Xenopus tropicalis: one gene and its partners. The main gene of each other region encodes a partner of the protein of the gene in region 2 in a complex. Links are inferred from orthologs where the notes say so. Each region holds a gene or a part of one and is shown on either strand. Other genes may lie near its edges. The genes, in order: gtf2e2, gtf2f2, gtf2f1 and polr2c.

Region 1 (8,251 bases), on a different chromosome or scaffold from region 2:
TGACTTGTGAATATTACAGCATCTTAAAAAGTATTCAGACTTTTGATCATATGTCCCACTTAATGAACAAGAATTAAATTTTATTCTCTGGGATATTTTTCTTAAAAAACACAACTTAAACTTTTCGAAAAGTAAACATAATTTCAAGCAATGTTACAATATACTACATTTTTCTAAATGCGTGTTGCACAATTGTTTAGCGCTTGATGCATGTTCTGACTAATATTGGGACAGTGAAATATTTTTAAAGTGATAATGACATGTTCCTTTGAAAGCCTTTGGAAAATGACAGTATTACTAAAAAAAAAAATGGCCCAGATTTTTTTTTTTTTTTTTTTTAGTACATGCCTCACCCTGGAAAAACTTACCACCAGTGACAATCTGACTTTGCTTAATGTCTCCAGTAGCAGAGAGCTGGCTGTGTGATCCTTAAGAAGGCTTGAGTACATTCTTTACCTTTGGAAATATCCCCTGCCTCAGTCCCAGACCCAATCATCTAACACGTAATTCAAATCTTTTCCTTGATATGCCCATCATGGGTGGGTGATATTCCCATCATGGGTGGGTGATATTCCCATCATGGGTGGGTGATATGATAATGCAATCATTTGGCCCTAGAACCAAAGATTGCATTACAATGAAGGGTATACAAAAAGTCAGAGCAAGGACCGTATAAATGAGCTCATGTATCCCTTGATCCGGCAGAAAAATCAAGCCTCCCCGATCTACACCTGGCCGATTATTAGCAGATATCGCTGCTGAATTCATGGCTACCTTTACAACTGAGCATACTTTCTGAGCTTGATTATAATATACGGGTCGAAGTTCTCTGATGCTGCTGAGAAATGTGTCAACTAATGGAGCAAATTGTAAAAGAGTCTGCATCTGACTTACTGAGCTGATAGTCTGAATTGCCAGAGGAAGGAAAATTAGTTTATATTATAAGATCAAAAATAAAAAAAGAAACTAACTAGTTGCTGGTGTACTATTTGTAAATATCTAAACTAAAAAAAGTGTGTGGAAAGTAAACAATCCCTTTAAAATTTTCTGGTCCATTTATACTCCAAACAGTTTATGTAAACCAATTTTGCTGTTTTATAAGCAAATCATGGGCAATAAAATGTATATATAACAGTGGCAAATCGTTATCTACATACACAAGATTTTGATCAAAATCTGATCTCCACAGGCTGTAATGTAATGTTGCATAAGATTAAATCGGATGTTTTCCGATCAACATCCAAAAGTCTTTCTAACACCATCAGTTTTTATTTTGTTGGATGCAGTGTTCCCTTATGACAGGCTTATTGTCTTGCATGACAATATTTTCTATATAGTTAACAAATGAGATTTTTGTATCAGTCCTATCATATTTTGACCCACGTGACTACATCTGACTTGTCGAATGCATTTTATTGATCTGACACCATTCGACAAAATCACTTGTGGACTTTAGCCCTATTTCATACTTTTATTCCACAGGGATACATCAACAGAGATATAACAAATTAAAAAGACTATCTGCCTTTATAACAAATTGTAGAAAATATTCATACTTTTTTCCACAAAGATATATATATATATATATATATATATATATAACATATAACATGTGAAAGGGACAGTTTGCCTTCAAAAATGTAGTAGAAGGCATTAAATTTTTTTTTATTTTATTTGTATTCTATATATTATTATAAATGGCTATTAGGGTGGTTTGGTCAGTGTCTTAAGTAAATGTCTTAAATAAAATAGGCAAAGTGGCTAAAATTCCCCACTAAAAAAAAAAATAATCATCTTCTATTTAGTACAGGTATGGGATCCCTTATTCCGGAAACCCGTTATCCAGACAGTTCCGAATTACGGAAAGGCCATCTGCAATAGACTCCATTATAATCAAATAATTCAAATTTTTAAAAATGATTTCCTTTTTGCTGTAAAAATAAAACAGAACCTTGTACTTGATCCCAACTAAGATATAAATAATCCTTAAAACAAGTCTATTAGGTTTATTTCATATTTAAATGATTTTTAGCAGACTTAAGTTATGGAGATCCAAATTATGGAAAAGATCCCATATCCGGAAAACCCCCAGGCCCCGAGCATTCTGGATAACAGGTGCCATACCTGTATTGTAAAAATTGTTAAAGGAACATGTATTTGATTATACACAGATATTTGCAACATATGCCATTGTGCCAGTATGCAAATATGTAAACCTCTTTGCTTTATAAAAAGTTATGTTTGTAACAACACCAGCACGAAGGCAATGAATACTAGGCTTGCACTGAATGCACCAAACCCTAATTTGAGAAATCAAAAAATCATAATTTGTGAACAAAATGTTCTGTTGTCCAAAGCTTTATAGCCACTTTTGGGTTCTGCTGAACTGAATCTAAATGCCTAATGGATATTTTAAATTATATGTTTCCAATATAGGCAAAATATGTAAGAATGTGTTGAAAAAATATGATTATTTTAAACCATTCTTTCTGAGTACTATATTATTTTATTACTGCATTAGATGTGGTACATATAAAAGTAAGCTTGGTGGAAATCATTTTTAAAAATGTGAATTATTTGGTTAAAATGGAGTCTATGGGAGATGGCCTTTCCGTAATTCCGAACTTTCTGGATAATGGGTTTCCGGGTAAAGGGTCCGATACCTGTACAAGGCTAATTCATTTTTTATTTATTGTTTTATTTACAGTACCATGGATCCAGCCCTACTAAGAGACAGGGAGCTCTTTAAAAAGCGAGCCTTGACCACACCAGCTGTGGAAAAACGTCCAAGTGCTTCTTCAGAGTCTTCAAAGAAAAAGAGAGCCAAACTTGAACCTAGTGGCACTTCGGGATCCAAGCCAAGCTTAGGTCAGTAACCCCAATGAATGATTAATTTCTTATTCCCAGCTTTTATTAATCTGCAGAACAATTCTTACTGTGCACACTGTACTTTTGTGTTGGGGCACAAATCAAAATGATGCTGTAGTGAAGCCCAAGGGCTAAATATTGTTGTATTAAAAAGGTGAAGACATATTGTTAAAGCATACCTCCCAACTTTTTGAAAATGGAAAGAGGGACAAAAAGAAATGCCACATTTTTTGACCACGCCCATTTTTGCAACCACACCCCCTATGTCAATTGGCGTTTTTTCACAGCTACTGCACTATTTTTTACCACACAACTTTTTCTCTTGTAATTTTCTCCACCGTTGGAGTCTATAGATGTTTTTTTTAATGGGGAAAATTTCGCTCATCACTAGTGCCTTTCTTTATGTCAATGTAATTTTATGATAAACCTAGTTCTTTGCATTTCTTCTTGCATCTGTAAGTGGGCCTTAGGATTCACTTGACTGAAGTTTTTGTTAAATCTTTTGCTGTAAACATTCTGCTACTGTATGTTTGTGAGTGGGAAAAATAAAGCAAACACAAAATAAAAAAGAACATTATGTATAAAGTTAATAATTCACAATTTAAAGAAAAAACATTACAGTTAGCTGTATGTGTCAGATCTAAAAGCGGTCTGACAGTCAGCACTTCAGTACATTAATTTTAAATTGGCATGAACCAGCTAAGAGCGTTTCAAAAGATTGATGCAGGAGCAATGGACATTGAAACTTCAAAATAATTGCAGTTTCAATGTCCATTAAAATCATGACAACATATTCCAAATGTGGAGAAATTGCATCATTAAAGTGAAACTCCCAGTAGCAAATTCAAACTCACCAATAGAAGCAACACCCATAAATGCATAAACATTTTTCAAAATCTGGACATGTTAACATTTGCAGAAAGAAAAATAATGCCTTCAACTCTGTGTCTATTACCACCAACATGGTGGTAGATCCATAATAGTAGGGACAGCTATATTATGAGAGTCATTAGTGGACTTAGGACATGGGGCTCTATGTTCCCCAGGTCCTAACCATTACAGATAATAGATTCCATACATGTATTTTGATACAGAACAATTGTGGATGTATTGTGCAATTTAATGCACCTTTTTAAAATACTCCTAAAATGTTGGATGCTGCTCTAGCGGTTCAGATGAGAGTTCATGTTGGGTTGATGCTACAAATAAATTTTTTGTAAAGGCCCATTTAAATACATCTACCCACTTTCATAGCTTTTTTTTTTTTGTTCAGATTTCTAAAAAAAAGAATATATCTAAACAAAAGAGGTTAATTTTTTTTACATTTAGTTTCTCTAATATATCAAGCAGTGGCATATCTATTCCCCATATTTCCTATTGCTAAACTTTGCACTGAAACCTCTGATCAGGTGTAAACCACAATTTTATACAGATTGTTTTCTTATATTACTGGTGAAATTTTTTTTTTTTGTTTGTTCTGGTTTTTGGGCATGCCTTTAACATTTTCATGATAAAATTACTTTTGGCTGACCATATGACTAAGTATCACACATATGAGAATTTTTCAGATTGATTAAAAGGTAAATTTTTCAGTGTAGAAGATATGCAAGATATGCATTGCAAGTTTTTTTTTTTTTTTTATGCAGATTTATTATACTGGGAAGTTCTGCATTAAGTCAAATACCTGCAGAATACCCGCAGAGCAGTGTTTTTCTATCTGATTTAGCCTGCTAATCCAAGGGGCACATTTACTAATCCACGAATCCGAATCACGAAAGGGAAAAAATCGTATTGGAAACGAAAATTTATTAGTCACGATAATATCGTATTGGCGATCCGAAAGTCACGAAATTTTCGTACCGAACAATTGTAAACAGCGGTAAAACCTTTCCGATTTTTTCGTGCAAACGTCCGAAAAAGTTGTGCGCTGTACGAAAAAGTTGTGCGCTGTACGAAAAAGTTGTGCGGCGTACGAAAAAGTCGTGCGGCGTACGAAAAAGTCGTGCGGCGTACGAAAAAGTCGTGCGGACGCCCGAAAAAATCGGCAAAAATACGCTCGGAGCGTTCGCATGAACGCTCGAGCGTTCGTGCCTTTGTAAATGTGCCCCCAAGTGTATGGTTTTAGGTTTGCAACATTAGGACTTCTCGCCAAAAACTTAGAGAATTGACAATTGTTACAGTATCCCTAAATGTAACATGTTACGTAAGCATGTGCTTCAGCACCTGTTTGTGGGATGGTCTTTGTGGCAACCTGCATTGATTGTATCAAATTTTCCATTAAAACGTTGTAATCGGTGAGCCAGTCAGTTATTGATGGACTTTCCAGTCTCCTTTCTGAGATTAATTGCTTACAAAGGAACCAAACGGGTTTTACTTATAGGAGACAATTAACAGGACAGCACTGCAATAGAACCCCCCATCTTGTAGGGGACAAGAAAAAATGGTGTAAAATCACGCAAATGCATTATATATTGGTGATATCGCAAAAAAACATTGTAAAGTGCAGAAAAGCGTAAAATCAAGGGATGTAAAAGTTTCATTGTATATTGTACATAGCTGGGCAGTCTCGTGTAACAATATAAAACCCTAAAAAACAACTTTTGGAAGTTTTTTCATACAGTTAGACCATTCATGATTGAACTAGGGTGCCTGGATAAACATTTGAAGAATTCTGTCTGATCTGAAATAAAACCCTTGTTTAACAAAGACCCAATCAACAGGGGTATATAGGAGAGTTGCACAATATGCATTCATCCCAAATATTATCTTTAGTGCAATCTCTTAGATTTTCAGATTGTCTTTTCACTAAACTGTAATCCAGTTTTATGTTCTTTATTTGTATATACTTTTATTTATCTAGTGAATTTCTTCACCAGGCATGGATTCGCAGGGAAGTTCTGCATTTCGGCAAATATTTTTGCGAAACTGCGGAACAATCGATGCATCTGTTACAGAGATGGAAATAACACTGATATAAAAAATGCATTTGGAGTAAAGAAAAAAACAATTTGCGTGTACAATTTATCACACGTAAAATTTGTCATGTGTTGACTTCAATGCATTTCCCAATTTTTCCCGGTTTCACAATTTTTTTGCAGTTATGTGGATTTTTCAGCAAAGCGAAATGGTACAGATTCGCTCATCACTATTGTCTAGTAATGCACTTGCGTGTTTTGCTATTTTCTAATCCCACAGTCCTATAACCCTTTCATTGGTTGGTTCTTGCAGCTAGTTTCTAAAGTCACATTGTACTCCTATTATGCAGAAATCTGTTATCAAGAACTAAAATATGACAGAGCTATTTCTTATAGTGTCAAAGTGAAATGAACAATTTAAATGTTTTTCTAACTAGTTTTTTTTTAAGTAATAAAGAGCTCTCAAAAATCCATATTGGTTGGAATTCTTATTAGCCTTAAGGCATGGTGCATCATTCAAAACAACAGATGCCAAACTTGTACTTTATACTGCATTGGTATGATTAGATGTCAGCTGTGCATTGTGCTAATATTGGATTTTTTTTATTAATGGCAAGGAAAGTCAAATGCACTGGGACAACTTCCAACTTCTGTGGTATCAAGGGCCTACATCAGAGATCCCCAACCTTTTATACCTGTGAGCCATATTTGGTTACTTAATAGCCCACATGTGCACTGGCAGCCTACTGCATTATACTGGGTTTTTATGCAACCTGCTTTGAGGCCACGGGGAGCAACATCCATGGGGTTGGGGAGCAACATGTGGCTCATGAGCCACAGGCTGGGGAACACTGGCCTACATGGTGGAGGGCTGTTAAAGGAAGACAGTTTTATCACCTCCCCCTTTTTAAACCACACCCACTTCAAAGCACACCCATGCTATCAGCTTTTAAAACCATACCCACATTAATGGTGGTAGTGCAGCAAAAACCCAAATGGTTGGTGCTCACTGCAGGGATATCTGCCTCATTCATATGTTAAAAAAATGTATTAGGTCATATAATAATGTATTATGTGTGTATTAAGACATACCCTTAAATACATGTTCGCCTCCTTCTTCTCCCCTGTGGATAGTAGAGCAACACCCCCAGCATATAATTACACACCTTAGGGACCATATAATGACTATTTACAAATGCTAGCAACTTCCCAGAACAAACCCCTGCCAGGTTCACCTGCCACAGGCAACATAGGGCAGGCAGAGTATGGTGCACACACAGCCAGCATAGGGCAGGCAGAGTATGGCACACACAGGCAGCATAGGGCAGGGAGAGTACTGCCTGTGTGTGCCTTACTATGCCTGCCCTATGCTGCCTGTAATGTGCACACTGCAAGGGTTCCTCAGATAAAAAGAACCTTGAGCCTATGTGTTTTTTGTTTTGTTTTTTTTTTAATAGAAGAGAAGCAGCAGCCTGGAAGGAAAAATGTAAAAGGTTTTGCATTCCTTCTCTAATAAAACTGGACTAAAAAAATAATTAAACCTGTCATTAGAGGAGGTTTAAAATATTTTTCACAAATAGTTCTTAACAAAAACACTACAAAAATAATCAATAACTGTTATTATTTGGTGCTCTAAGCCTATGGCATATTGGTTTGTTTGGAGCTTAGGGCCGTTGTTATACCAACAATCCAGTACTCTCAATAGGTCCCTCTATTGATATCAATAAGAACTGCAGTAGAACATATTATTACATATTTTCATTAGCTGCTAGTAGCAATACTTGTAACTTGTAGAAGGGAAAACCAATCTGATGCAGCAGGAAAACAAATATCAGGTTGACAGAGCACACTGACACTTTAAATGATTTAAAGCTCTCAAAAGCCTAGACCAGTGTTGTCCAACTTCTGTAGTACCGAGGGCCGGAATTTTTCCGACCTACGTAGTGGAGGGCCGATAATGGAAGCCAGTTTTGACCATTCCCCTTTTTGAAACTGCACCCACTTGAAACCACACCTGTGTTATCACATGACCATACCCATATTAATGGTTATAGTACAGCAAAAACCTGCCATACTCTGCCTGCCCCACCCTGCCTGTGTGTGCCATACTCTGCCTGCCCTACCCTGCCTGTGTGTGCCATACTCTGCCTTCCCTACCCTGCCTGTGTGTGCCATACTCTGCCTGCCCTATGCTGCCTGTGTGCGCCATACTCTACCTTCCCTACCCTGCCTGCGTGTGCCATACGTTGACTGTGTGTGCCATTCTTGGCTGGTTTGTGCCATACTTGGCCTGTGTGTGCCATACTCTGCCTGCCCTACCCTGCCTGTGTGTGCCATACTCTGCCTGCCCTACCCTGCCTGTGTGTGCCATACTCTGCCTGCCCTACCCTGCCTGTGTGTGCCATACTCTGCCTTCCCTCCCCTGCCTGTGTGTGCCATACTCTGCCTTCCCTCCCCTGCCTGTGTGT
Region 2 (7,741 bases):
GCAGAATGGGAAGATGTGAATCTGTTTCTGTCAATAAACTTTTAGAGATAGAAATCAAGGCAATACTGTAAATAGGGGCACAGGAAGCTGGAATGTGATAAATCTTTCTAGAAGGAAACGTAATTCAGTAAGGGTGCAATCCAGAAGTGCTGCCTGGATCTGAATACATAATGTCTTATGTGCCGCAGCAGTGTCCTGTCAACATGTGTTAATAGGAAGACTGAGCTGTCAGTCTTTAAAAGCTGGGCCATTGCCACTGCTGAGTTACAGGTAACTGGCAGGATTACTGGAACTTGGGTCTTTTACTTCTTCCACGTTTTAAGTAAAGAAAAGAACAGCCAGAGCACTTCTAAGCAAGCAAAGGGAATTTTCTTACATTCCACTAGATGGCAGCAACTGACCACTTTAACAGCTGCAAGACTGAAGATAAAACAAATATTAATAAAAGAAGTAATTAAATTGTGTTAATAGCACTCTTTTCTATATGACTATTATATAGGATTATTCCCAAAGTCATGCAAATGTACAGTTACTGTTAATATTCGGAATGCTAGTTAAGCATACCATTAGTTCCTCTGTAAAAGAACATTGATGGAGCTCATGGCCAAATTTCAATGTTCACAGTATTATGTTACATTTGTGAAATCCCTCATTCTTATTACTGTGCTGTCACATTTCTAAGGCTGTCAAAGGGAGAGTCGAGACATCTCTACAAGCATTATTCTGCCTACTGATCTCCTGGCAACGCCCATGGGAACAACAGAAGTTACAGGAGGAAGCATTTAATTTGGAATACACAAATATTTACACATGGGAGGGGTCTCTTCACCCCCTTTTACACTTTTACACACATAAAAGGCCTTGAGTAGGGAGACTATCAAATATGAAATAATCGTACTCTGCTACTAAACAGGAGGAGTAGATATACAAGTGTGTATGGAGGGTAAAGGAAGCCCTCTTTCCTGTTTGGTGGCTTCTTTAGTTGGTTGCCATACTTGTTTTTTTGCTTAGGAAGATTTCCAAGGAAGTTTGGAGTCAATTTATCTTGGCACAAGTCCTGGTGGGGATGCCAGACAGAGTGTGTTTAAATTTCACAAAGGGTTGCCAATTGTTTTGGAAAAACACACCCACTTTTCTAAGCTTGTATCTCTTTACTATTAATAACACTGGCATCCTTTTTAATGGCTAGGTGGTAACCCTACTATTACCCCGTGTCAGGGTATATACTAGCTGAAAGCTAGCTAAACCTAAAGCAAATGGAGCAGCAGGTGCTTGTGCATGAATGTGAATGCTGCCCCGGGCATCAAGGACTTATTATACAAGGGTTTATCATCCTCCCACTCCCACAGGTACTATACTGTATCATCCTCCCACTCTCACAGGTACTATACTGTATCATCCTCCCACTCCCACAGGTACTATACTGTATCATCCCACAGGTACTATAATGTATCATCCTCCCACTCCCACAGGTACTATACTGTATCATCCTCCCACTCCCACAGGTACTATACTGTATCATCCTCCCACTCCCACAGGTACTATACTGTATCATCCTCCCACTCCCACAGGTACTATACTGTATCATCCTCCCACAGGTACTATACTGTATCATCCTCCCACAGGTACTATACTGTATCATCCTCCCACTCCCACAGGTACTATACTGTATCATCCTCCCACTCCCACAGGTACTATACTGTATCATCCTCCCACTCCCACAGGTACTATACTGTATCATCCTCCCACTCCCACAGGTACTATACTGTATCATCCTCCACTCCCACAGGTACTATACTGTATCATCCTCCCACTCCCACAGGTACTATACTGTATCATCCTCCCACTCCCACAGATACTATACTGTATCATCCCACTCCCACAGGTACTATACTGTATCATCCTCCCACTCCCACAGGTACTATACTGTATCATCCTCCCACTCCCACAGGTACTATACTGTATCATCCTCCCACTCCCACAGGTACTATACTGTATCATCCTCCCACTCCCACAGGTACTATACTGTATCATCCTCCCACTCCCACAGGTACTATACTGTATCATCCTCCCACTCCCACAGGTACTATACTGTATCATCCTCCCACTCCCACAGGTACTATACTGTATCATCCTTCCACTCCCACAGGTACTATACTGTATCATCCTTCCACTCCCACAGGTACTGTACTGTATCATCCTCCCACTCCCACAGGTACTATACTGTATCATCCTTCCACTCCCACAGGTACTGTACTGTATCATCCTCCCACTCCCACAGGTACTATACTGTATCATCCTTCCACTCCCACAGGTACTATACTGTATCATCCTTCCACTCCCACAGGTACTATACTGTATCATCCTCCCACAGGTACTATACTGTGTATGTTCTAAAGGCTGAATCTCTAGCAGAAATGAAATAGTTTTTTTGTCACCTGGCATCTATAATATCCCTATCACCCTTGCTCCATTCCTAAATGAACTCTTTTGTTCATTTCTAGTTAGTTACAGTGGAGCTCTCACGGGACTGCATAGCTGGGAAACAAACCAATGTTGTGTATCAGTGCCAGTGTTATAGTGCCAGGGCCTGAATATCTGCCATCAGTACCCACTGCTTCTCATTGCATAGAACGTGCTGGTTTTGTACATATAAACTCCATTTGACTGTACATAATGTGCCTGGGATGTCAGCACCCACTGCCTTTCTCACTATGAAACTAACTAAAACAAATTTAAGCTAACTGATCACAAACACAAATAGATGAAGCACACCTCACCTAAGTATATGTATAAATACTTTTACATCCTAAACTTTTAGGGAAAAAAAAAAAAAGGATTCCCACCCTGGAAGTCAGTGGGAACCACAAGAGAGAGTTAAGGGGTTCATTTTTTATGCCAGCAGCGAATCCACTGAGTCTCACATTTCACATCTCAGCTTTAAGTCAGGCAATGTATGGCCAATCTTTAGCCTCCCCAAACAAAAAGGTCACCCTCCGCCTATGACAAGACAGCAGAGGAGTCACAAAAAGATAAAGTGAAAATACCTAAAACCCACACACAAAACAGAAAACCCTGTAACCTTCTTACCAGCATGGTAACCTCATTCTGGGCCTCTGACAACAGGGACCGTAATGAACCACTTACACACAGGTGCTGGGGTAACACAGGAAGTGGGTAACGTGAGATGTTTAAATGGCAATAGGGCTCTCTTAGCAGATTTCAGTGGCAAAGATAAGTGGGGAAAAAAGAATGTGAGTGGCATCTGCCGGGACAGGGACTTATCTTTTGCAAGAACAATATGAAAATGATGCCTTAGAAGTAAATAAGAAAAAACAGGCACAGCAGTAGATGGCAGGCAGAGAAAGAGCACTGGGATTTCAGAGAGAAAATCCCTAAGGCCATCAAACCACCGTGTGCAAGCATGGGCTGCAAAGTGAAGCATCTAGCAGCTGAATACAAATCAAAAGGAGCAGGAAATATTCCAAGCATCTGCTCACGAAATGAGCCCAAAGAAGAATAAATGCAATTGGAAGGAAGGTGCATTTGTATTGACAGGTATGGGATCCCTTATCCGGAAACCCATCATCCAGAAAGCTCCGAATTACGGAACGCCCATCTCCCATAGACTCCATTTTAATCAAATAATTTAGAATTTTAAAACGGATTTCCTTTTTCCCTTTAGTAATAAAACAGTACCTTGTAATTGATTCCAACTAAGATATAAATAATCCTTATTGGATACAAAACAATCCTGTTGGGTTTAATTAATTTTTTAGTAGACTTAAGGTATGGAGATCCAAATTACGGAAAGATCCCTTATCCGGAATACCCTTGGTCCCGAGCATTCTGGATAACGGGTCCTATACCTGTACATAGATCTGATAATTGATCTTAAGCCTTCTGCTCTAACAAATGAAATCCTTTAATGCTCATAGCTCAGCACTGTAACACGGAATGGCTAGCAAGTAAGTGGAACAGGAGGGAAGCGGCACAACGTGAGCTCTCATAGTTACGGGGATCTTTTCATCTGAGCTAGAAACCAGTCAAGCAGCAAGAGGATACAGCAAAAGATATAAATACATGGGCTCCTGTAAAAACTGTATAATAACTGCCCTATTAGGAAATAGGTCTCCTGTATATATTGCCATATTCTGCATTAGAGCCATTGTATTCAGTCCAACTAATGCCTTGTCTTCCTTGGGAATAAGGAGCATATGTGTGAAAATAGCAAACTTTGCCAGGCTACAATCACATTAATATTTTATAATATTATTAAGTTTAATTACAGAGTGCTAAATATATTATGCACCACTGCCTCCCAAATGAGATGTGTTAAAAAGCAAGAAGATGAAAAACATTCATTATCTTAGATTTTCGCTGAACTGTGAAAGAAAAAATTGAAATATGAATATTAGCCAGCATTATGGATGGCTCCGATTTCCACTGTCCCTTTGCTGCTGACCTCTGTGTTTATAAGCATTAGCAGCCCACAGGGGCAAAGGGGTGCCAAAAGGGGAAGCAGAGATCATGGAGGGTGAAGATGGAGCATGTAGAACAGTAATCCCCTACCAGTGGCTCGTGACAAACATGGATGTTGCTCCCAGTGGCCTAAAAGCGGGTGCTCGTTTTTGAATTCCTGGCTTGGAGGCAAGTCTTGGTTGCATAAAAACCCAATTCCAAACAGCGCCTTCTGTAGGCTGTCAGTCCACATAGGGGCTATTAAAGGAAAAGTAACACTAAAATCTTTTAAGTAAAAAAGCTATTCTACCCTGCACCAATAACTGCCTTATCCTGCAAACCACTTAGTATTTAATGCTTTATTTTAAATGCTTTAATAGAAAATACCTGCTAAAACACAGAAGGAAGGCTAGGCTCGACCAATCAATCGATGCATAGTGGATGCAACTCCTTCCTTCACCGTATCGCTGTAGTTCAATTGACAGTAAGCCAAGTTTTAGCAGCTATTTTTTATTAAAACATTTAAAATACTAAGTGGTTTGCAGGATAGGGCAGTTATTGGTGCAGGGTAGAATAGCTTTTTTACTTAAAAAACATTAGTGTTACTTTTCCTTTAAATAGCCAATTATTGCTCTTATTGGCACCATCAGGAACCATTTTCATGCTTGTGTTGCTCCCTAACACTTTTTCCATTTTCCATGTGGCTCACGGGTATAAAAGGTTGGGGACCCCTGATGTAGAAGGAGGAGCAAAGTTGTTGAAAGGGAAGTTATGTAGGGATGGGCACACTGGGAGACGCAAAGGTCAGGGCAGTGGGAGGGTACAAGGAGAATGGAGGACATACTCAGTACTCAGTGCAACACTGGTATGAAATATACCCAGAGCCCAGTACATTGTATTCGTGGCTATATGGATAAGTATAAAGCAATTTTTCCTTTTTTTGGGGCTGTTGAACTGTACAGAAGGCCCCTATGAGTAGGGCAAAAGGTATGGGTTTAAAAAAGGTTGAAATTACTATACATATATTAGGTTGAAATTACTATACAATGGGAGCCAAGACCTAGATTTATAGTGCCTACATACATAGCCATGACTGCAAAAAGCCATACATACATACATACATACATACTGTACATACATACAAAGCCATGACTGCAAAAAGCAGCAAAGCCTATCCTGCAGAAATCTATCTACACAAGCAGTGGTTTCCCTCCTCTATGAGTGATGTAACCCTATCAGCATTATAAAACCTTGGAGCACTTCCTAGTGACCCTGGCAGATACGGATAGCTGTTCCTTGATGTGTTATGTGTTATGCTAAGGAGCCATGTTATTAGGATGCCCAGAGACATATGAGAGTTGCTCAGTTGCCTTAGGAAACTGTCTTTTTTTAAAACAATCATTTTCCCTCCTTGCAGTCACAGACACTCTCAGGCACTCACCACGGGTTGCTTGGTAATGTCCACGAGATCCTTAATGTTGTAGTACTGGTGTTTTTCAAATGCAGAGAACAACATATCCAAAACCTGGTGCTTATCTGCTCGGGCTCGCTTGCCGTCATCCTTTTTCTTCTTCTCGTACTCAATCTGCACAGACAATTATGCACAAATTAGCAGTTACCAGATTTCATTCTGCAAGTGATATATTTACATTCTATGAAAACCAGACTATATAATGCACCATTGCCCATTATGACCACAGTCTAATTATCTATAGCAATCAATTAGCAGGTAGAATTTGCTGGTCACACCTGTTTAAATGGTTGCTATGGGTTACTGCACCTTGGTAAACAATGTGCCTTTTATTACATATAATTTCTTCTTATTCTGGATACACCCAAAATGCTTGCCTTGAGGTAATAATTCTCCATATGTAATTAAAAAGAGTTAACTTGAGAGAAACATGGAATGGTAGTATGGTGAGGGTCAGGCTTGTACTGGCCAGCCGTCGTACCACGGCATCTTCTGTTTGATTCCAATGTATCACAAGTCCCATCAACTCATTTGCCAAAGTCGCCCAAAGTTTCCTCTCAAGGCAACTTCAGCATATCACGGCGCCGCGTATGCCATTTACATTATAGCCAGTGGGATGGCATTGTGGGGAGATAAGTTGCCCGCGACAACAAAGATTTGTCGTGCGGCGACTAATCTCCCCATGTGTCACTGCCCTAAGGTGAGAAGATTCAAATTTGCAAGTTTGAGGCTCAATTGACAGCTGCCCTACTGAGAGTTTTTGCCTTCCAATGGGGTAGGAAATCATGGCAGGAGCTCCGGTGCATGCCTACTGCAGTTTCCATATTAAGCACATGGCCGTAGTATCTTAATCATATTAACCCTTTTCCTGCCGGTGACCCAGTGGGTTTTAGGTCCGCAGTTCAGGAAAGACACGTTGGTAGGCAATGTGTTTTGCAGTGGCGTAAAAACCTGGAAACACAGGTACAACGTTGCTGGCATAATGTCACAATCCCCTGACGACAACATAGTACTATTTGCTTGGATGTGACTTTATTTTAGGAATGGTGAACTGGAGGGCCACAGGTTAAATATGACCCTCAGATAGATTAAGGCCTCCAGAGTGTTCAAAAGCCCCACCAGGCTCTTTGGATGCCAACATATTACTATATCTATGGGATCTTTTACGAAGAAACCAGTTATCCAGAATGCTCCAAACTAGAGAAAGGCCCATCTCCCACAGAGTCCATTATAGCCCAATACATTTTGTAAATGGAAGATGCCATAGACAGTAACTGTTTATTGGACTGGTGGGGGGCTGTTTGGGCCTCTGTGTAGGTGAAATGCCAGGGGTATTTTAAAGGAGAAAGAAAGGCTAAATAACTATGGGGGTGCCAAATGTAAGGCACCCCCCCCAGTGATTGTAATCGCTTACTGGATACCCCTGGCTGGTGCTCCTGTTAGAAGAAAACTGCACCAGTTGGGTATATGCGAGCATACCCCAGCTGGTGCAGTTTTCTCCTAACAGTAGCACTGGAAAGGGGTTTCAGGTAAGCGATTACTGCGGGGTGTCTAACATGTGACGTAGCCTTTCCTTCTCCTTTAAATTACAGTCCAGACCTGGAGGTCATGTCACATGGGGGCAGGGCGATGACATCACATGGTGTGCAGACTGGGTGGGGAAGGGCACTGGGCAGGCTATTCTTATAAGGGGTAATTCAGCTCAGGGAAGGGAGGAATTTATAGGGTATTACAAAGTTACCGGCAACTACACTGCCGGTAAATTTGTAGTTCCAGCCCTGGCTGGTGATTTACCAGATGGGCCAGTCA
Region 3 (8,411 bases), on a different chromosome or scaffold from region 2:
TGTCTATGGCACCTTACAGCAGCCCCTCTGGCATTTGCCTGAACCCACAGATTGCCAGTCTGGGCCTGATTTTCAGTACACAGAGGCCCAAACAGCCCCCCATAGGCCCAATAAATAGTGAGTGACTATGGCACCTTACAGCAGCCCCTCTGGCATTTGCCTGAACCCACAGATTGCTAGTCTGGGCCTGATTTTCAGTACACAGAGGCCCAAACAGCCCCCCATAGGCCCAATAAATAGTGAGTGTCTATGGCATCTTACAGCAGCCCCTCTGGCATTTGCCTGAACCCACAGATTGCCAGTCTGGGCCTGATTTTCAGTACACAGAGGCCCAAACAGCCCCCCATAGGCCCAATAAATAGTGAGTGACTATGGCACCTTACAGCAGCCCCTCTGGCATTTGCCTGAACCCACAGATTGCCAGTCTGGGCCTGATTTTCAGTACACAGAGGCCCAAACAGCCCCCCCCATAGGCCCAATAAATAGTGAGTGTCTATGGCACCTTACAGCAGCCCCTCTGGCATTTGCCTGAACCCACAGATTGCCAGTCTGGGCCTGATTTTCAGTACCCAGAGGCCCAAACAGCCGCCCAGCAGCCCAATAAATAGTGAGTGTCTATGGCACCTTACAGCAGCCCCTCTGGCATTTGCCAGAACCCACAGATTGCCAGTCCAGGCCTGATTTTCAGTACACAGAGGCCCAAACAGCCCCCCATAGGCCCAATAAATAGTGAGTGTCTATGGCACCTTACAGCAGCCCCTCTGGCATTTGCCTGAACCCACAGATTGCCAGTCTGGGCCTGATTTTCAGTACACAGAGGCCCAAACAGCCCCCCATAGGCCCAATAAATAGTGAGTGTCTATGGCACCTTACAGCAGCCCCTCTGGCATTTGCCTGAACCCACAGATTGCCAGTCTGGGCCTGATTTTCAGTACACAGAGGCCCAAACAGCCCCCCATAGGCCCAATAAATAGTGAGTGTCTATGGCACCTTACAGCAGCCCCTCTGGCATTTGCCTGAACCCACAGATTGCCAGTCTGGGCCTGATTTTCAGTACACAGAGGCCCAAACAGCCCCCCATAGGCCCAATAAATAGTGAGTGACTATGGCACCTTACAGCAGCCCCTCTGGCATTTGCCTGAACCCACAGATTGCTAGTCTGGGCCTGATTTTCAGTACACAGAGGCCCAAACAGCCCCCCATAGGCCCAATAAATAGTGAGTGTCTATGGCACCTTACAGCAGCCCCTCTGGCATTTGCCTGAACCCACAGATTGCTAGTCTGGGCCTGATTTTCAGTACACAGAGGCCCAAACAGCCCCCCATAGGCCCAATAAATAGTGAGTGTCTATGGCATCTTACAGCAGCCCCTCTGGCATTTGCCTGAACCCACAGATTGCCAGTCTGGGCCTGATTTTCAGTACACAGAGGCCCAAACAGCCCCCCATAGGCCCAATAAATAGTGAGTGACTATGGCACCTTACAGCAGCCCCTCTGGCATTTGCCTGAACCCACAGATTGCCAGTCTGGGCCTGATTTTCAGTACACAGAGGCCCAAACAGCCCCCCCCATAGGCCCAATAAATAGTGAGTGTCTATGGCACCTTACAGCAGCCCCTCTGGCATTTGCCTGAACCCACAGATTGCCAGTCTGGGCCTGATTTTCAGTACCCAGAGGCCCAAACAGCCGCCCAGCAGCCCAATAAATAGTGAGTGTCTATGGCACCTTACAGCAGCCCCTCTGGCATTTGCCAGAACCCACAGATTGCCAGTCCAGGCCTGATTTTCAGTACACAGAGGCCCAAACAGCCCCCATAGGCCCAATAAATAGTGAGTGTCTATGGCACCTTACAGCAGCCCCTCTGGCATTTGCCTGAACCCACAGATTGCCAGTCCGGGCCTGATTTTCAGTATACAGAGGCCCAAACAGCCCCCCATAGGCCCAATAAATAGTGAGTGTCTATGGCACCTTACAGCAGCCCCTCTGGCATTTGCCTGAACCCACAGATTGCCAGTCCGGGCCTGATTTTCAGTACACAGAGGCCCAAACAGCCCCCCCCCCCCATAGGCCCAATAAATAGTGACTGACTATGGCATCTTACAGCAGCCCTCTGGCATTTGCCTGAACCCACAGATTGCCAGTCTGGGCCTGATTTTCAGTATACAGAGGCCCAAACAGCCCCCCCCCCATAGGCCCAATAAATAGTGAGTGACTATGGCATCTTACAGCAGCCCCTCTGGCATTTGCCTGAACCCACAGATAGGGATAGAACAAGGCAACCTTCCTACCCACCTGATGGAATGGATAACCCAATAGGCACATAAATCATCCAAGGGACTCTGTTGTTATATTGCACTGTGCACTTTTATGTACATGATGGGTTACAGTTACATTCATATACAGACAGTAATGGGTGTAACAATATTGGGTCACACTTCCCCTTTAAAGGAACAGTAACACCAAAAAATGAAAGTGTATAAAAGTAACTAAAATATAATGTGCTGCTGCCCTGCACTGGTAAAAGTTGTGTGTTTACTTCAGAAAGTCTACTATAATTTATATAAATAAGCTGCTATGTAGCCACGGGGGCAGCCATTCAAAGGAGAAAAGGCACAGGCACATAGCAGATAACAGATAAAACACTATTGTATTCTACAGAGCTTATCTGTTATCTGCTATGTAACCTGTGCCTTTTCTCCTTTTTTCCAGCTTGAATGGCTGCCCCCATGGCTACACAGCAGCTTATTATATAAATTATAGTAGTGTTACTGTAGCAAACACACCAGTTTTACCAGTGCAGGGCTACAATACATTATATTTTTATTACTTTAAAGCTCTTTCATTTTTTGGTGTTACTGTTCCTTTAACCTTACAAATGGAATGTGAGAGCCAGGTTGAGATAAGGGGTATTGAATCCCAACTCAACCTCACCCTGTACCCAGTTTAAGTCATTTCTGATAGAGGGGAGTGACTTTTACATTAAAATACTTCAATGCGATATAATTTGAGGCATTCCGAGCTCCCCATGAAATTAATGTCAGGGTAAGCAATATGTCAAAGTTTGCCCATTCACTGCCGCTGAACTTCCTCTGTTGCCAGTATGAAATATGGCCGCCGCCAACTAACTTCCCTTTTTTTTCTTGCGCTACGTTCAGGAAGCTGCGCCGGAAGTACCAGGGAGCCGGTGACCGGAAGTTTGCAGTGGAGAGACTTGTGTGTGTTGGTGAGGCAGAGAAAGAGTGTTGTGTAAGCGGCTCATGTGTAGGATATCCCTACGCCTGCTCTCACACTTTCCTTCCGCTGCTGGGACTGGGATATCCCTACGCCTGCCCTCACTTTCCTCCCATCAGGTGCTTCATTCAGCCGGGGCTGTAGCACAGCCACTAACCTGCGCCATTAATCATTATATATAGAAAGTCATTGTGCTGTATGCTTCCCTTCCCTACTGAACTCCATTCTATATTGCCTTCCTATCATGCTACTGCCTTAGGGAAGGGTCAGTCAAACAAGGACAAGTCTAACTACAGCTCTCCCATCTCTATATATCTGGGGGGGGGGGGGCTTGAAACTACTCTCACCAACAGAAAACTAACTATATATATATATATATACTATACTAGTAACTATACTATAACCCCATTAGTGAGTATGTACTGTATATAGGGTCACCATTCTGGCTTTGTACTGACTTTACCAGCCCCTCCCCATAGAGGCAGGATAATGCTTATCGCTTCGCTTCATGCAACTGTCTGTGTGTGTGTGTATTGAGACAATTGAATTCTATCTTTTATAGATCCCAAGGGAACCTGCCCTGAGAAGCGATGGCGTCGCTGGTAAGTGGTGTACAAGTACCTGTGTTTGTCTGTATGTATGTATAACTTTATTTATAAAGTGCCACAAGGGTACGCAGCGCTGTACAATCTTACAATATACACAATTACACACAGGGAGGGCAAGTGTTATAATAAATACAATAAATAAATATAAATACATGGGGAGTAAGTGCCATGTGGTATGAGACAGTAGGAAGGAGGTCCCTGCCCCGTAGAGCTTACAATCTAAGTGAGTGTAACACTCTTTCCTTCTTCTCTTCTTCCCATTTGCTTTAGCAATCTGCCAGCTACTTTTTAAAGGAGACATATCCTATAAAAATGATGAATGTAATGTGTATGAAAGTTGTGTTTCAGACTGATTTATTGAGATATTCCCCCAAAACCCCACTAGTCCTGCCCATCTGTTCCACTTTCTGCTGGCTGAATTCTCTGGATGTGCAGGGGAGCCGGCGGCACTCTGTACACTGCTTTGTAATATAGGAACCAATCAGCAGCTAGGCTGACCTGATAGGGAACTGAAGCCTGTCTGTGCTTGTGTGAGTGCAGGGCTGTGACTGGCTACTCCCCTCCTACTGTGCTTCTGGCAGGGACCGTTAGGACACGCCCACCCCTCATTTCAAACACAGACAGAGAAGTGATAGGATCTATAGGGAGCGCCAATAAAGGGGCCATTGTTACAGATAGGATTAATGTTTAGCCCAAAGGGAAACCAGCACCGTATATTATTCATAATTGCCTACAGGATTAGGGTTTTTCCCATTTATCCAATATGTCCCCTTTAAAAGAGAAGAAAGGCTAAATGACTGAGTGATCGCTTACCTGATACCCCAGGCTGGTGCTGCTGTTAGGAGAAAACTGCCCCGGCCCAGGGTATATGTGAGAGAGCGTTCCTCTTCCTCCTTTATTCTGAATCCCGGGGCAGTTGAGTGAAACAGACAGCTTTATTGTTAGTCGGCTCCTCACTCTACTGCGCGTGGGCAAAGACCGAAGCAGGAAGAGAAACACTGGCTCACATACACCCCAGGCTGGGGCAGTTTTCTCCCAATAGAAGCACCGGCTGGGGGTTTCAGGTAAGTGATCACAATCACTGGGGGGGCTAATATTTTGGCTCCCCCCACCCAGTGATTGTAACTTTACTTCTCCTTTAACAGAACAGACATTACTAATGCTTATTCCTTTAACCCCTTGTCTCCCAGCAGACTTCTTCCCCAGCCCCATTCCTTTAACCCCTTGTCCCCCAGCCCTGTGCCAAATTGACCAGCAGACTTCTTCCCCAGCCCCATTCCTTTAACCCCTTGTCCCCCAGCCCTGAGCCAAATTGACCAACAAACTTCTTCCCCAGCCCCATTCCTTTAACCCCTTGTCTCCCAGCCCTGAGCCAAATTGACCAGCAGACATCTTCCCCAGCCCCATTCCTTTAACCCCTTGTCTCCCAGCCCTGTGCCAAATTGACCAGCAGACAATCTTCCCCAGCCCCATTCCTTTAACCCCTTGTCTCCCAGCCCTGTGCCAAATTGACCAGCAGACCCCTTCCCCAGCCCCATTCCTTTAACCCCTTGTCTCCCAGCCCTGTGCCAAATTGACCAGCAGACTTTTTCCCCAGCCCCATTCCTTTAACCCCTTGTCCCCCAGCCCTGTGCCAAATTGACCAGCAGACTTCTTCCCCAGCCCCATTCCTTTAACCCCTTGTCCCCCAGCCTTGTGCCAAAATAACCAGCAGGCTTCTTCCCCAGCCCCATTCCTTTAACCCCTTGTCCCCCAGCCCTGAGCCAAATTGACCAGCAGACTTCTTCCCCAGCCCCATTCCTTTAACCCCTTGTCTCCCAGCCCTGTGCCAAATTGACTAGCAGACTTCTTCCCCAGCCCCATTCCTTTAACCCCTTGTCTCCCAGCCCTGTGCCAAATTGACCAGCAGACGTCTTCCCCAGCCTGTGGCCCTGCTACTCTTATATCTTTCTGCCAGAGCAAATCCAGTAATGGTTGTTTTCTCTTTTATCTCTGTATTTACTGAAATTCTCATTCCCCACAGGGCACCAGTGGCCAGTCTGTTACAGAGTATGTGGTGCGTGTACCCAGGTAAGTAAGCAGTCTGTTACTAGTGGATATCTGGGTGCACTTAGCTGTGTTCTCTTCTCCCAGCCTGGTAACATCAATATGTCTGAGAATACATGCTTAACCTGGGATGTCCCTGTACCCAGATAGTATATCCTTCCCATTTACTGTGTGCAGTGTCCTGATATTTCTCCATAGATATTCAATGCATTCTCTCTTCTCTCTGTTGGTCAGGAATCCAAATAAGCGGTACAGTCTCATGGCATTTAATGCTGCGGATAAAGTGGATTTCTCCACGTGGAACCAGGTACAGGATTACCATTTTATAATCCATAAAGGGCAGCATCCTAATCATTGTACAGTGTAATACTCACAAGCCAAAAATACACAGGGCTCTCCCTATGTTGGATGACGTAACTCTAGATAGGATTCACTATATAATTAAGTTTGGGCTGTCTATAGTATGTATGTGCAATTTTGTTTAGAATGTCACATGTGCCATAGTCCCAATTCCCCTGCTGCCAAACTAAAGCAAATGCGTGGCTGTATTGGTCTGTATATCTGTGTGAGTTGTGACGGGTACCTGTATTTCTTCAGGCTCGTATGGAACGTGACCTGAGTGCCAAAAAGATGTATCAGGATGAAGAGATGCCTGAATCTGGGGCTGGCAGCGAGTATAACCGCAAACAGAGGGAGGAGTCCAGGAGGAAAAAATACGGGATCATTTTAAAGGAGTTCAAACTAGAGGATCAGCCTTGGCTTCTGCGAGTGAATGGAAAGGCAGGACGCAAGTAAGTCAGCAATGAACAGCATAGGGCTTTATTCTATTCTTTGTTTCTATCTTCCTACCACTGGGGGCAGCGCTGGCCCAATATCCTTTGTTTCTATCCTCCTACCACTGGGGGCAGCGCTGGCCCAATATCCTTTGTTTCTATCCTCCTACCACTGGGGGCAACACTGATGCAATATCCTTTATTTCACTTGATTCCACTGCCCCTCCAGGTATAAAGGCGTGAAGAAGGGCGGAGTGACGGAAAATGCCTCTTACTACATATTCACACAGTGCGCAGATGGAGCATTTGAAGCATTTCCAGTCTCCAACTGGTACAATTTCACTCCACTTGCCAAGCATCGCACTCTGACGGCCGAGGAGGCGGAGCAGGAGTGGGAAAGGTAACCAGAGGCAGCAAATAAGGCCCCCACCCATATTATATACCCTTATTAGGGCATTTTTGCCTTCATGATAGCAAATGCATAAGATTTTGGGGTGATACAAAGCTTGCCTTAATACTGTACACAAAATGGCGGCTGCCTGCAGACTGTGACTGTGAATTCCAAGAGTGAAGGGAAAAAATTAAATAATTTATATAGTGTAAGGAAAGTTTATTTTGCTCAACTAACATGATAGAAAAGGATTTGGAATAATTTCTTAGAGTGACGGGTCCCCTTTAATGATCCGTCTCCTTGCCAGACGCATAAAATGTGATTGTAAGACCCACGGATTAACTGTCTTTCACCTTCCTGCAGGCGCAACAAAGTCCTCAATCACTTTACCATTATGCAGCAGCGTCGCCTGAAGGACCAGGTGGGAGATGATGATGAAGAGGAAGGTGGGGGAAAACAGGAAAAAGGAGGAAAGGGCAAGAAAAAGAAGAAAAAAAGTGACCTCAAAATCCATGATCTTGAGGATGACCTTGATATGAGCTCCAGTGAAAGCGAGGACAGCGATGAGGAGGGTAAGTTATTGTGGGGTAGGGGTTTGAGATATTAGCAGTTTAGGACTGCCTATACCCAGCTTTTGGCTCCCTAGTATAAGTATAAATGTTGATGGAAAGTAATGAAACAGTAGGGGATGGGTATAAGGCAAAAGATGGCTTCCCTCATGTTCCCTCTGTCTCCAGGCGAGCGTCGCACAAAGCCCCAGAAGAAAGCTCCGGCCAAGGGCAAGAAAAAGAAGAAGCAGAAGTCGGACGACGAGGCTCTAGAGGACAGCGACGATGGGGATTTTGAGGGGCAGGAAGTAGATTACATGTCGGACGAGAGCAGGTAAGGGAAACCTGTAGTGCGGAAGGGGCGGTTCACCTGATGTACTGTTAGTATGTTATAGAATGCCCCATTCTTAGAAACTTTGCAATTGGTCTTCATTATTTTTTATAGTTTTTGAATTATCTGCCTTTCTCTTCTGACAGCTTTTAAATGGGGGGGGGTCACTGACCCCGGCAGCTAAAAACTATTGCTCTGTGTATTAGGCCCTCCTTTAGTCATATTCCCAACTCTTTTTTTCAAACAGCTGCCTGGTTGGCTAAGGTAAATTGCACCATAGCAACCAGATAGCTTTTAGAATACCAAACTGAAGAACTGCTGACCAATTGCAGTTGTCTTACAAATACCAATGGCCACATCATACTGAAAGTGCATTTAAAGGTGAACTATGCCCTGTAAATAGTTCAGTGGATATACGCAAGATTTTACCTTTTTGCAGCCAGCATCCGAATCTTTTAGAAAGGATTTGAGGTTCGGCTGAATC
Region 4 (8,526 bases), on a different chromosome or scaffold from region 2:
AAGATTTTCCTGTCAGCAGAGCTGCATGTGCGACTGAGTTAAAGCATGTGAGACTCAGTAAAACTGAATTTACTTCAAAGTTGATGCTGCCCTGGAACTCTGGTCTGCTGTCTTTATTTGTGCCAGTACATGGTTCAACTGCAACAAATAGTGGCAAGGCCTAGTACTTCATGTGCCAGTGATCCTGGTGGTGAGTACCAGTAAGAGTTGTTTTAGGTATTTGGACAGTGAACTGTGACTGGATGACACTTTTTGAGATTTGCCGTAAATGGCCAATTGCTTGACCTCTGTTGTGGATCTTTGATAGCTTCATGCTAGACATTGTAGCCTCAGGAACATAATTATGTGCACATAGGTCTTGTCTGCTTTGCCCTGATTTTTATGGATTTACTCTTAAGCATATTAAAGAAATATTCAAAAATAGAACAAAAGATCTTGTCCACTTCTACAAATTAAATTCCCTCTATAATGGAGATATATATATATATATATATATATATATATATATATATATATATATATATATATAATATTGATGAGCTCACAAACAGCAGGACCAGAAATAAATGTGAAACCATGATTTCTCCAATAAATGTGGACAAATATGATCAGTTTAGCTTCCTCATATCTACAAAGGATCCAGATTATAATTATCCATCAAACCTTAAAACTGGATGAAGTGTAGGCCTGATGCCAACTGCTCTAAATTCCAGAATCAAGACTCACATCTCTTTCATTTGGTTTGGTATTCCCTTATAACACAGGTATATTGGTAAATTGTGACGTACCTTTCTGATTACATCTTGTCCCCTGCAGTGTATTTACTGGGGTAAGTAGGAAACCTAATCTTGCCTGTGAAGATTATTTGCTTATAAACATATATTCAAATTTATCAGTCACCTCTTTGGCCATTCAGCATTGTTTCTAGTTAAAGAAATACTGTCGTCGGAAAATGTTTTTTTCAAAATGCATCAGTTAATAGAGCTTCCCCAGCAGAATCCTGCATTGAAATCTGTTTTTCGAAAAGACAAACTTTTTTTATATTTAATTTAAAAAATTTCACATGGGGCTAGCCATGATCTTCATTTCCCAGGGTGCCACAGCCATGTGACCTGTGCTCTGATAAACTTCATTTACACTTTACTGCTGAGCTACAAGTTGGAGTGATATCACCCCCCTCCCAGCAGAACAAAGGGAAGGTAGCAAGATAGCAGCTCCCATTAGATATCAGAATAGCACTCAATAGTAAAAAATCCAAGTCCGGTTTTGGACTCCTCCAGTTACATGGGAGTAGGAGAAACAACAGATTGCCGAAAACAGTTCTAATGTGTAGTGCTGGCTTTTTCTGAAGACTCAGACACAATGCACTGAGACTGCTGCCTACACACCAATATTACAACTAATATCCTGCTGGGCCCCGCTAGACCCTGCTGGCAGCCCACCTCTCTCCTTTATGGCCCCAACCCACCCAGCACTTTGCTGGGCCCTGGCAAATTCATGCTTCAGTGATAAGCCCTAGCCACCTGCTCACCTATCCTTCACCTTGTTGGGCCCCACCAGGCCTGGCGACTATGTCCCGAAACAAAACCATTTTCGTGTTGAATGGGAGTTTAAGTTAAAAATGGTCATGTGTTCCGCCATCTTTAATTTTTTATGCAGGCAAAACTTTCAGAGGTGGCGCAGGTAAGAGAATGAGGATCTAAGGAGCAATAGAAGAACAGATATAATTGTCTTTGACAGAACAGGGCAAGCAGCATGAAGGCATAAAGAAGAAAGGTTTATGACATGCCTGAGATAAATGTGCTGATACCTACTTGCTGCATTCATTTTACTGGCATGTGTAAAGTTAATACTTACATTATCAATTTCTGCAGGTCTAGAGTAAATGTGATCATAAATTATTTAACGCAGTGATCTTAAGTGTATGTCTGGGTAACTATAACTAAAGTGTGTGGCAAACGGCATAAAAATGTTGGCACCATGCTCAGTGCATTTTTAGACCCCAAAGTTTCAGATTTACCGCTAAAGCCCCATATTTTGTTGCAATATACTTGAGACATGATCTACAATGTTAGGTGATGGGTACCAGGTGCCCCAGTCCGACACCGCCTTTAACTAGTCATCCTGATCGTTAATGATCCATATAGAACTCAAACTCTATTGTTTGTAGCCACGAAAGGCAACCCCTTTCTGTACGCGCTTGATCTCTGTGGTCTCCGGTTCTCAACTTCCGGTTTCCGGTTTCTAAGTTGCTGTGTTGAGAGGATGCCGTACGCGAACCAGCCTACAGTGCGGATAACGGAGCTCACTGACGAGAATGTCAAGTTTATCGTGGAAAATACTGACTTGGCGTAAGAGACCTTTGACTGTTATGGCAGAATAATGGGTTTAATTGCTTTTTTCAGAACGATGTGTGGTGTGCATGTTGCATACTCGCTGCCCCAGACTGCCTGTCTCTCGAATCCCAATTCCTGAGACCCCCACATTTATAATGAGTGGTAAAGTGCGAGGGAATGGTTAGGTGGAAATAGAGTTTAGATTTTTATTTTTCCAACTTCGGCTAGGTATGATGTGGTACTTATTCACCATTGTGTCATGTATCTACTTTGTGTTATTCTGTTGTTTCTAATTATCCTAAAAGTGTAAATAATAGTGTGACTATATCACCATATGATGACGTATGTCATGCTGGGTACCACTGGTTTCCTGGACGCATCTCTTCTCTAAAGGGCAACTAAAGACATGATAGAGGTGTGACAAGTTGGCTGTTAGGCGTATGTAACCCACATATTGTACATCGCTGCAGAATATGTTGGCGCTTTATAAATAAATGTTAATGTAATGTAATCACTCCTTCTTTGGGTTCCACTATTTTCTGGTGCTTCTGTATGAAACTGTTTCATTTCCCTCAGGGTCACCTGTTTGCATGGATGCCCATTCTTCTTTTTAACCTTTTTTGATTGAGAATATTTATTTTTGGTAGTTCTTTTAACCCTTTTGGTTTCCCATGTGTTCAGGAGCAACTTCTAGTTCACCTTTTGTGTCTGTTAGTAGATTATATAGTGCCTGGCACCTAAAGGGTTCATTTAAAAAAAAAAAAACTGCATGTTTTCATACCAATATCGCTAACATACTTTGTAAAGGAGACATATTGGATAAATGGGAAAAACGCTAATTTTGTAGGCAATTATGAATAATATACGGTTCTGGTTTCTGTTTGTGCTAAAAATTAATCTTCTCTGTAAAAATGGCCCCTTTATTGGAGCTCCCTAGTGTGAAATGAAGAATGGGCGTGTCCTAACAGTACCTGCCAGAAGCACAGTAGGAGGGGGAGAGCCAATCACAGCCCTGCACTCAGACAAGCAAAGACAGGCTTCAGTTCCCTATCAGGTCAGCCTAGCTGCTGATTGGTTCCTATCCTACAGTGCAGTGTACGGAGGGCCGCCGGCTCCCCAGCTCATCCAGAGAATTCAGCCAGCAGGAAGTGGAACAGATGGGCGGGGCTAGTGGGGTTTTTGTGGAATTTCTCAATAAATCAGTCTGAAACACAACATTATTAAGCACAATCGTTCTATATCTAGAGGAGTATAATTCACTATAATTCATTCATAATTTTTATAGGATATGTCTCCTTTAAGAGGCCTCAAAGGCATAAAACTAAATTTAGAATTAGAAGAAATGGAACACTGCTTCCCATGTAAGGTAGTAATCATGCTGCACTTGATTTTTTATAGAACCATTTTTAGGAAATGTGTATTTGAGTGCTAAAAATATGCAGGTATTATTGCTATAAAATAATGAGTAAAAGGAAAAATTGTTACACTTGTTCCTCTGTATAAGCAGCCATTAATTATCTAATACTAATAAACCTTTTTCTATTTCAGAATTGCTAACTCGATCCGTAGGGTGTTCATAGCAGAAGTTCCTACTATAGGTATGTGCTCTTGTCCTGCATAAGAAAGGTTAAAGGGCCCTTGTTCAGCATGATTGCAATAAAGCTTACCTGAACAGGAAACACTCAGTGCAGTGTTTGTGAGCATTAATGTTTTATTACATTAGATCTCAAAACCCCTTGTAATGCATTCTGGTGCCCCTTACATTAAAATAACACATTTTTGTTGTTTATGTTTTATTTTACAGCTATAGATTGGGTGCAGATAGATGCAAATTCCTCTGTTCTTCACGATGAGTTCATAGCTCACAGAGTTGGTAAGTACTTAAAGATAAATTTACATTGAGTAGCAGGGCAATATTTCTAGTTAAGGCTACTTGCACTACTAGCAATACGTTGTCTAGCTTGTTTTGCCATTAGGGAGAAACTCCAGTTGCTATTGTACAGCGCTGCGGAATATGTTGGCGATAAGTGATACTGACAAGAAAAAACTACTTTTTAAATTATGAATCTACATAAAAAGTTACCAATAGGTCATGTTGATCAGTTTTTGTTGATAGGTTTGCTTTTATTAGCAATTGCTACTTAAACCTGACTGTTTTCCCAACCTGACTGTCCCTTCTCAGCCTGTCAGTTATAGCTTCTAATGCTAACGGACTCCTGCTGCACAAATATGGCCGCTCCCTCATAGAGGGACATGGGAGATCAGATAGGTAATGTAAAAGCATCTTGCAAATACTTTTATGGCAAAATTATAAAGCTCATGAAAAGACAGTGTTATGATAGATATAAAAAAGGTTTTTTTTTCTGGTGTCAGTATCTCTTTAATAATAATAATAGTGCAAGTGTGTTATTGTCTAATTCTGCATTTCTCTCTCTCTCTTTTTAGGATTGATCCCTTTGACCAGTGATGATATAGTAGATAAACTGCAGTACTCTAGGGTAAGTGCTTTGTATTTGAAACTAATTAAATCTATTTTAAATTAAAGAGGTTGTTCACCTTTCAAGGTATAGTGACACTTTCAGAGTTTTAACAGGAATGCGTTTCTAGACATCCATACGTTAATAACCTGTGTTGGTCTCTGGCAGGGCTTGGAGTTCAACAGCTTTGTGAGTGATGGAGTGCTTGGGGGTGGGACAAGTTTTTGATAAGATGAAGGACCAATTTAAACAGTGCCCCAACCCCAGTAAACCAGGAAGCTGCTCAACTCATGCCATGTTAGATAGCAAAAGAGGTTAGTAGGGGGGAGGCAGGGGGACACACCCATTAGAAAAGAATAGCAGCACCAGGGTTTTTGTAGGCATAGTGTCACAATCCCTTTTAATGTTTTTTCTCTCTGTTGTTTGGTGCTAAGTAATCTATGTGCAGTCATCTGCCTTTAATGAAACTCAGGTATTATGCCAAGCAGGGTGAAAAATAAAAGATTATCAACTAATGTATCAAATTAGAACAGTGGCCCCCTATTCCCCAGCTGCTCTATGGAGACATGAAAAGGCGAAATATGAAACTTCAATATTAGAAAAACAGAAAAAATAAAAGCAGTTGGGGGAAAAAAAGCCTTTATTTCTGGTGTACTATCTGAAGGTGAGCGACCCCTTTAGGCTCATGGCTCACGGGGAGATAAGTCGGACATGGTTAATCTTTGGTATCGTGGGTGGCTAATCTCCCCCAAATGCCTTTCCACTGGCATCAAAGTGAATTGCTGGTGGAAAGGCATACACATTGCTTCATTTTTCTGGAGTCAAGTGAAGTTTCCTCCTGCAGGCAACTTCACGTGACTTTGGAAAATAAAGCGCCGCATGCGCCTTTCCAAATCACTGGTGGAAAGGCATTTTAGTGAGATGGATATACATTTTCTGATCAGATGATTACTAGGATGAATTTCCAAATCTTCAAGGCTGAGATTTTATTAGCTCATTTTGATCTGTTCTTCAGACTTCTATCTAGGCTATCTGTAATAAAACTTGCCATAGCTTCTTGCTCTTACAATGCAGTTTTGTCTTCTCCAAAAATCTTCTGACTAGGATTGTACATGTGATGAGTTTTGTCCAGAGTGCTCTGTGGAATTTACTTTGGATGTCCGATGCAATGAAGACCAGACACGCCATGTGACCTCTCGTGATCTTGTCTCAAACAACCTCCGCGTTATACCAGTCAGTCTCCTGTTTTATTTTCATTTTGCTCAGAATTGATTATGTACGTTAGTGATGTGTTTGGATACTGCTGAATCTAATCAGCCACTTTACCAAATCCATAAACATTGAGTTTAGTACATCCCTAATAAGTTGGCTTTAAAAAATGTTTATTTCCTTTAATGTTCAATTAAAAATGTTAAAATGTATTATTTTGCTCCAGAAAGCTTTTTTTATGTTTTATATATATATATATATATATATATATATATATATATATATATATATATATATATATATATATATATATATATAGAATAGCTGTAGAGAGAGTCCGCACTCACAGGTCTTAAGAAAATATAGAAGTTTTATTCAAATCAACATCTAACGTTTCGGCTGCATCCACAGCCTTTCTCAAAGACAATGTGAAACAAACAATGGTGCACTGAAAAAATCGAATTTGGCGCCAAACAATGACGTCATAGGTGTGAATACATTAGCATACAGTGTGAAAAAAACGCTCTCAAAACACATTGAATCAACAAAAAATGTTAAGATAATATGGATTAGGCATAGAACACAAACAAAAGGACTGTCAGGGGAAAGGAAAAGTGGGTGTGTATTAAAAAAGCCCGCTTATGTATCTAGTTTTTTTTTTAATACACACCCACTTTTCCTTTCTCCTGACAGTCCTTTTGTTTGTGTTCTATGCCTAATCCATATTATCTTAACATGTTGATTCAATGTGTTTTGAGAGCGTTTTTTTCACACTGTATGCTAATGTATTCACACCTATGACGTCATTGTTTGGCGCCAAATTCGGTTTTTTCAGTGCACCATTGTTTGTTTCACATTGTCTTTGAGAAAGGCTGTGGATGCAGCCGAAACGTTAGATGTTGATTTGAATAAAACTTCTATATTTTCTTAAGACCTGTGAGTGCGGACTCTCTCTACAGCTATTCCATCTATTATTTTGGGACTGCGCTCCCTTGGACCTACTTATACGTGAGTGCCTGTCTTCTTGCAACATATATATATATATATATATATATAATTTTTTTTTTTTTTTTTTTTTGTGACTGAAGGAGCCCTTAAGGTGAAGTAACCCCTAGATAGGGAAATAGTGTAACTGAGGGGTGCCGTTGTGCAAATAAGGTCGAACTGATTTAAATTGTTCTGTTATTAAAAATTGTTTAGTTCACTGGTTTATTGTGATACTAATAACCCAGGCAATGTCTCCTCTGGTGTACCAAATCACTTTCCTGAGTTAAAAGGCATTAAAAAGGAATTAAAGGGGCTGTCTGCCTTTCATTCACTTTTTCAGTTTCCTTCTTTTCAGATTACTCAGGTTACAAAGTTGGTAAACACTGTTCACAAAGATGCTGACAATTTATTTTTTTATTTATTTTTCTATTTGCTTAACACCTTGAGTGTCACCTGAATAGACATTTTTTTCCTTGCAGGTGACATCACGAAGCAGAGACAATGACCCTAATGACTACGTGGAGCAAGATGGTGAGTTTTTAGATATAAGCAGTTGTGGGCCAAATGTGAGGTGCCAATAAGGTAAGCCCAAACCCTTGGGCAGCAATGCAGTGGCAACGAGCAGAGCATCCCTGCTATTTACTATTGCATAGTCGCCTCCCTCGCCTGGTCTGAGAGTAGGAATTATAAAATGATGAATTAAAAGTAGGCAGGAAGATGAGGTATATGCCTTGCACTCCCCCTTCCTCTGTTGTGCCCTAGGCATGTGCCTCTTCTGGCTACCACTAGTTCCATCCCTGGATATAAAGCTTCTGCCTCAATTCACAGCAGCTGAATGCTTGCCAGAAAGTAGTGTGGCTTTTTGTTTATTAACAATAACAGCATTATTATGCATTAATATGCAATTTACTATGTGTGTCAGTTTGGTAGATACAATGCTAATGTAACACTTTCTAATTTCTCTTGCATCTTAGGGCACTGTACTTTGCTCTTAATTTATGAATACAGACTGAATTAGCGCCTTAGTGCTATATGCAGTGTGTATGAAGCATATATAAGTGTAACTACTTATGTGAATTGCTTTAAATTCCTCACCCAAGGCCTGGTCACCAGCCCAGCTAAATCAGTCATTCTGCCAGTTGTCCCACAACAGTTGCCAGATAACCAATCAAATATACCTTTCCCTATGGTTCAGCAAATCACTTACCTAGGCGTTGTAATTAAACTCCCCCTATCAGAATACAACCTAACTGTACTACTGGTTAAAAACTATATACAAAAGAAAAATAAAGCATGGGAATCCCTCCTAATTGGCCCAATGGGCAGAATACATCTTATCAAAATGATACTCCTCCCCACACTAACTTATGCCCTCTTGCAAGCCCCTTGTGTTATTAAAAAAGGGTTTTTTACTGCAATAGATACAATATTTAGACAACTAATATGGGCTGGCACCCGACATCGCCTAGGCCTGAATACTCTGATTAAAGGCAAATCTAAAGGGAGAGCAGCATTCC

The links.
Region 1: gtf2f2 (region 2) and gtf2e2 share a complex: the UniProt entries of both Homo sapiens proteins name them as parts of the TBP-based Pol II pre-initiation complex. The link is inferred for Xenopus tropicalis from reciprocal best matches to the Homo sapiens genes GTF2F2 and GTF2E2.
Region 3: gtf2f2 (region 2) and gtf2f1 share a complex: the UniProt entries of both Homo sapiens proteins name them as parts of the TBP-based Pol II pre-initiation complex. The link is inferred for Xenopus tropicalis from reciprocal best matches to the Homo sapiens genes GTF2F2 and GTF2F1.
Region 4: gtf2f2 (region 2) and polr2c share a complex: the UniProt entries of both Homo sapiens proteins name them as parts of the TBP-based Pol II pre-initiation complex. The link is inferred for Xenopus tropicalis from reciprocal best matches to the Homo sapiens genes GTF2F2 and POLR2C.

The regions. Positions count from the first base shown.
Region 1 is NC_030677.2:83,788,800-83,797,050, forward strand, and holds the start of gtf2e2 (transcription initiation factor IIE subunit beta), read left to right. Parts: upstream 1-2,707; 5' UTR 2,708-2,711; coding exon 2,712-2,868; intron 2,869-8,251. UniProt on the Homo sapiens protein: Recruits TFIIH to the initiation complex and stimulates the RNA polymerase II C-terminal domain kinase and DNA-dependent ATPase activities of TFIIH. Both TFIIH and TFIIE are required for promoter clearance by RNA polymerase.
Region 2 is NC_030678.2:133,916,795-133,924,535, reverse strand, and holds part of gtf2f2 (general transcription factor IIF subunit 2), read right to left. Parts: intron 6,047-7,741; coding exon 5,903-6,046; intron 1-5,902. UniProt on the Homo sapiens protein: TFIIF is a general transcription initiation factor that binds to RNA polymerase II and helps to recruit it to the initiation complex in collaboration with TFIIB.
Region 3 is NC_030679.2:140,872,634-140,881,044, forward strand, and holds the start of gtf2f1 (general transcription factor IIF subunit 1), read left to right. Parts: upstream 1-3,228; 5' UTR 3,229-3,820; coding exon 3,821-3,832; intron 3,833-5,861; coding exon 5,862-5,908; intron 5,909-6,118; coding exon 6,119-6,191; intron 6,192-6,481; coding exon 6,482-6,675; intron 6,676-6,886; coding exon 6,887-7,057; intron 7,058-7,411; coding exon 7,412-7,620; intron 7,621-7,785; coding exon 7,786-7,930; intron 7,931-8,411. UniProt on the Homo sapiens protein: TFIIF is a general transcription initiation factor that binds to RNA polymerase II and helps to recruit it to the initiation complex in collaboration with TFIIB. It promotes transcription elongation.
Region 4 is NC_030680.2:76,281,378-76,289,903, reverse strand, and holds the start of polr2c (DNA-directed RNA polymerase II subunit RPB3), read left to right. Parts: upstream 1-2,240; 5' UTR 2,241-2,265; coding exon 2,266-2,351; intron 2,352-3,884; coding exon 3,885-3,934; intron 3,935-4,140; coding exon 4,141-4,209; intron 4,210-4,781; coding exon 4,782-4,834; intron 4,835-5,917; coding exon 5,918-6,046; intron 6,047-7,488; coding exon 7,489-7,540; intron 7,541-8,526. UniProt on the Homo sapiens protein: Core component of RNA polymerase II (Pol II), a DNA-dependent RNA polymerase which synthesizes mRNA precursors and many functional non-coding RNAs using the four ribonucleoside triphosphates as substrates.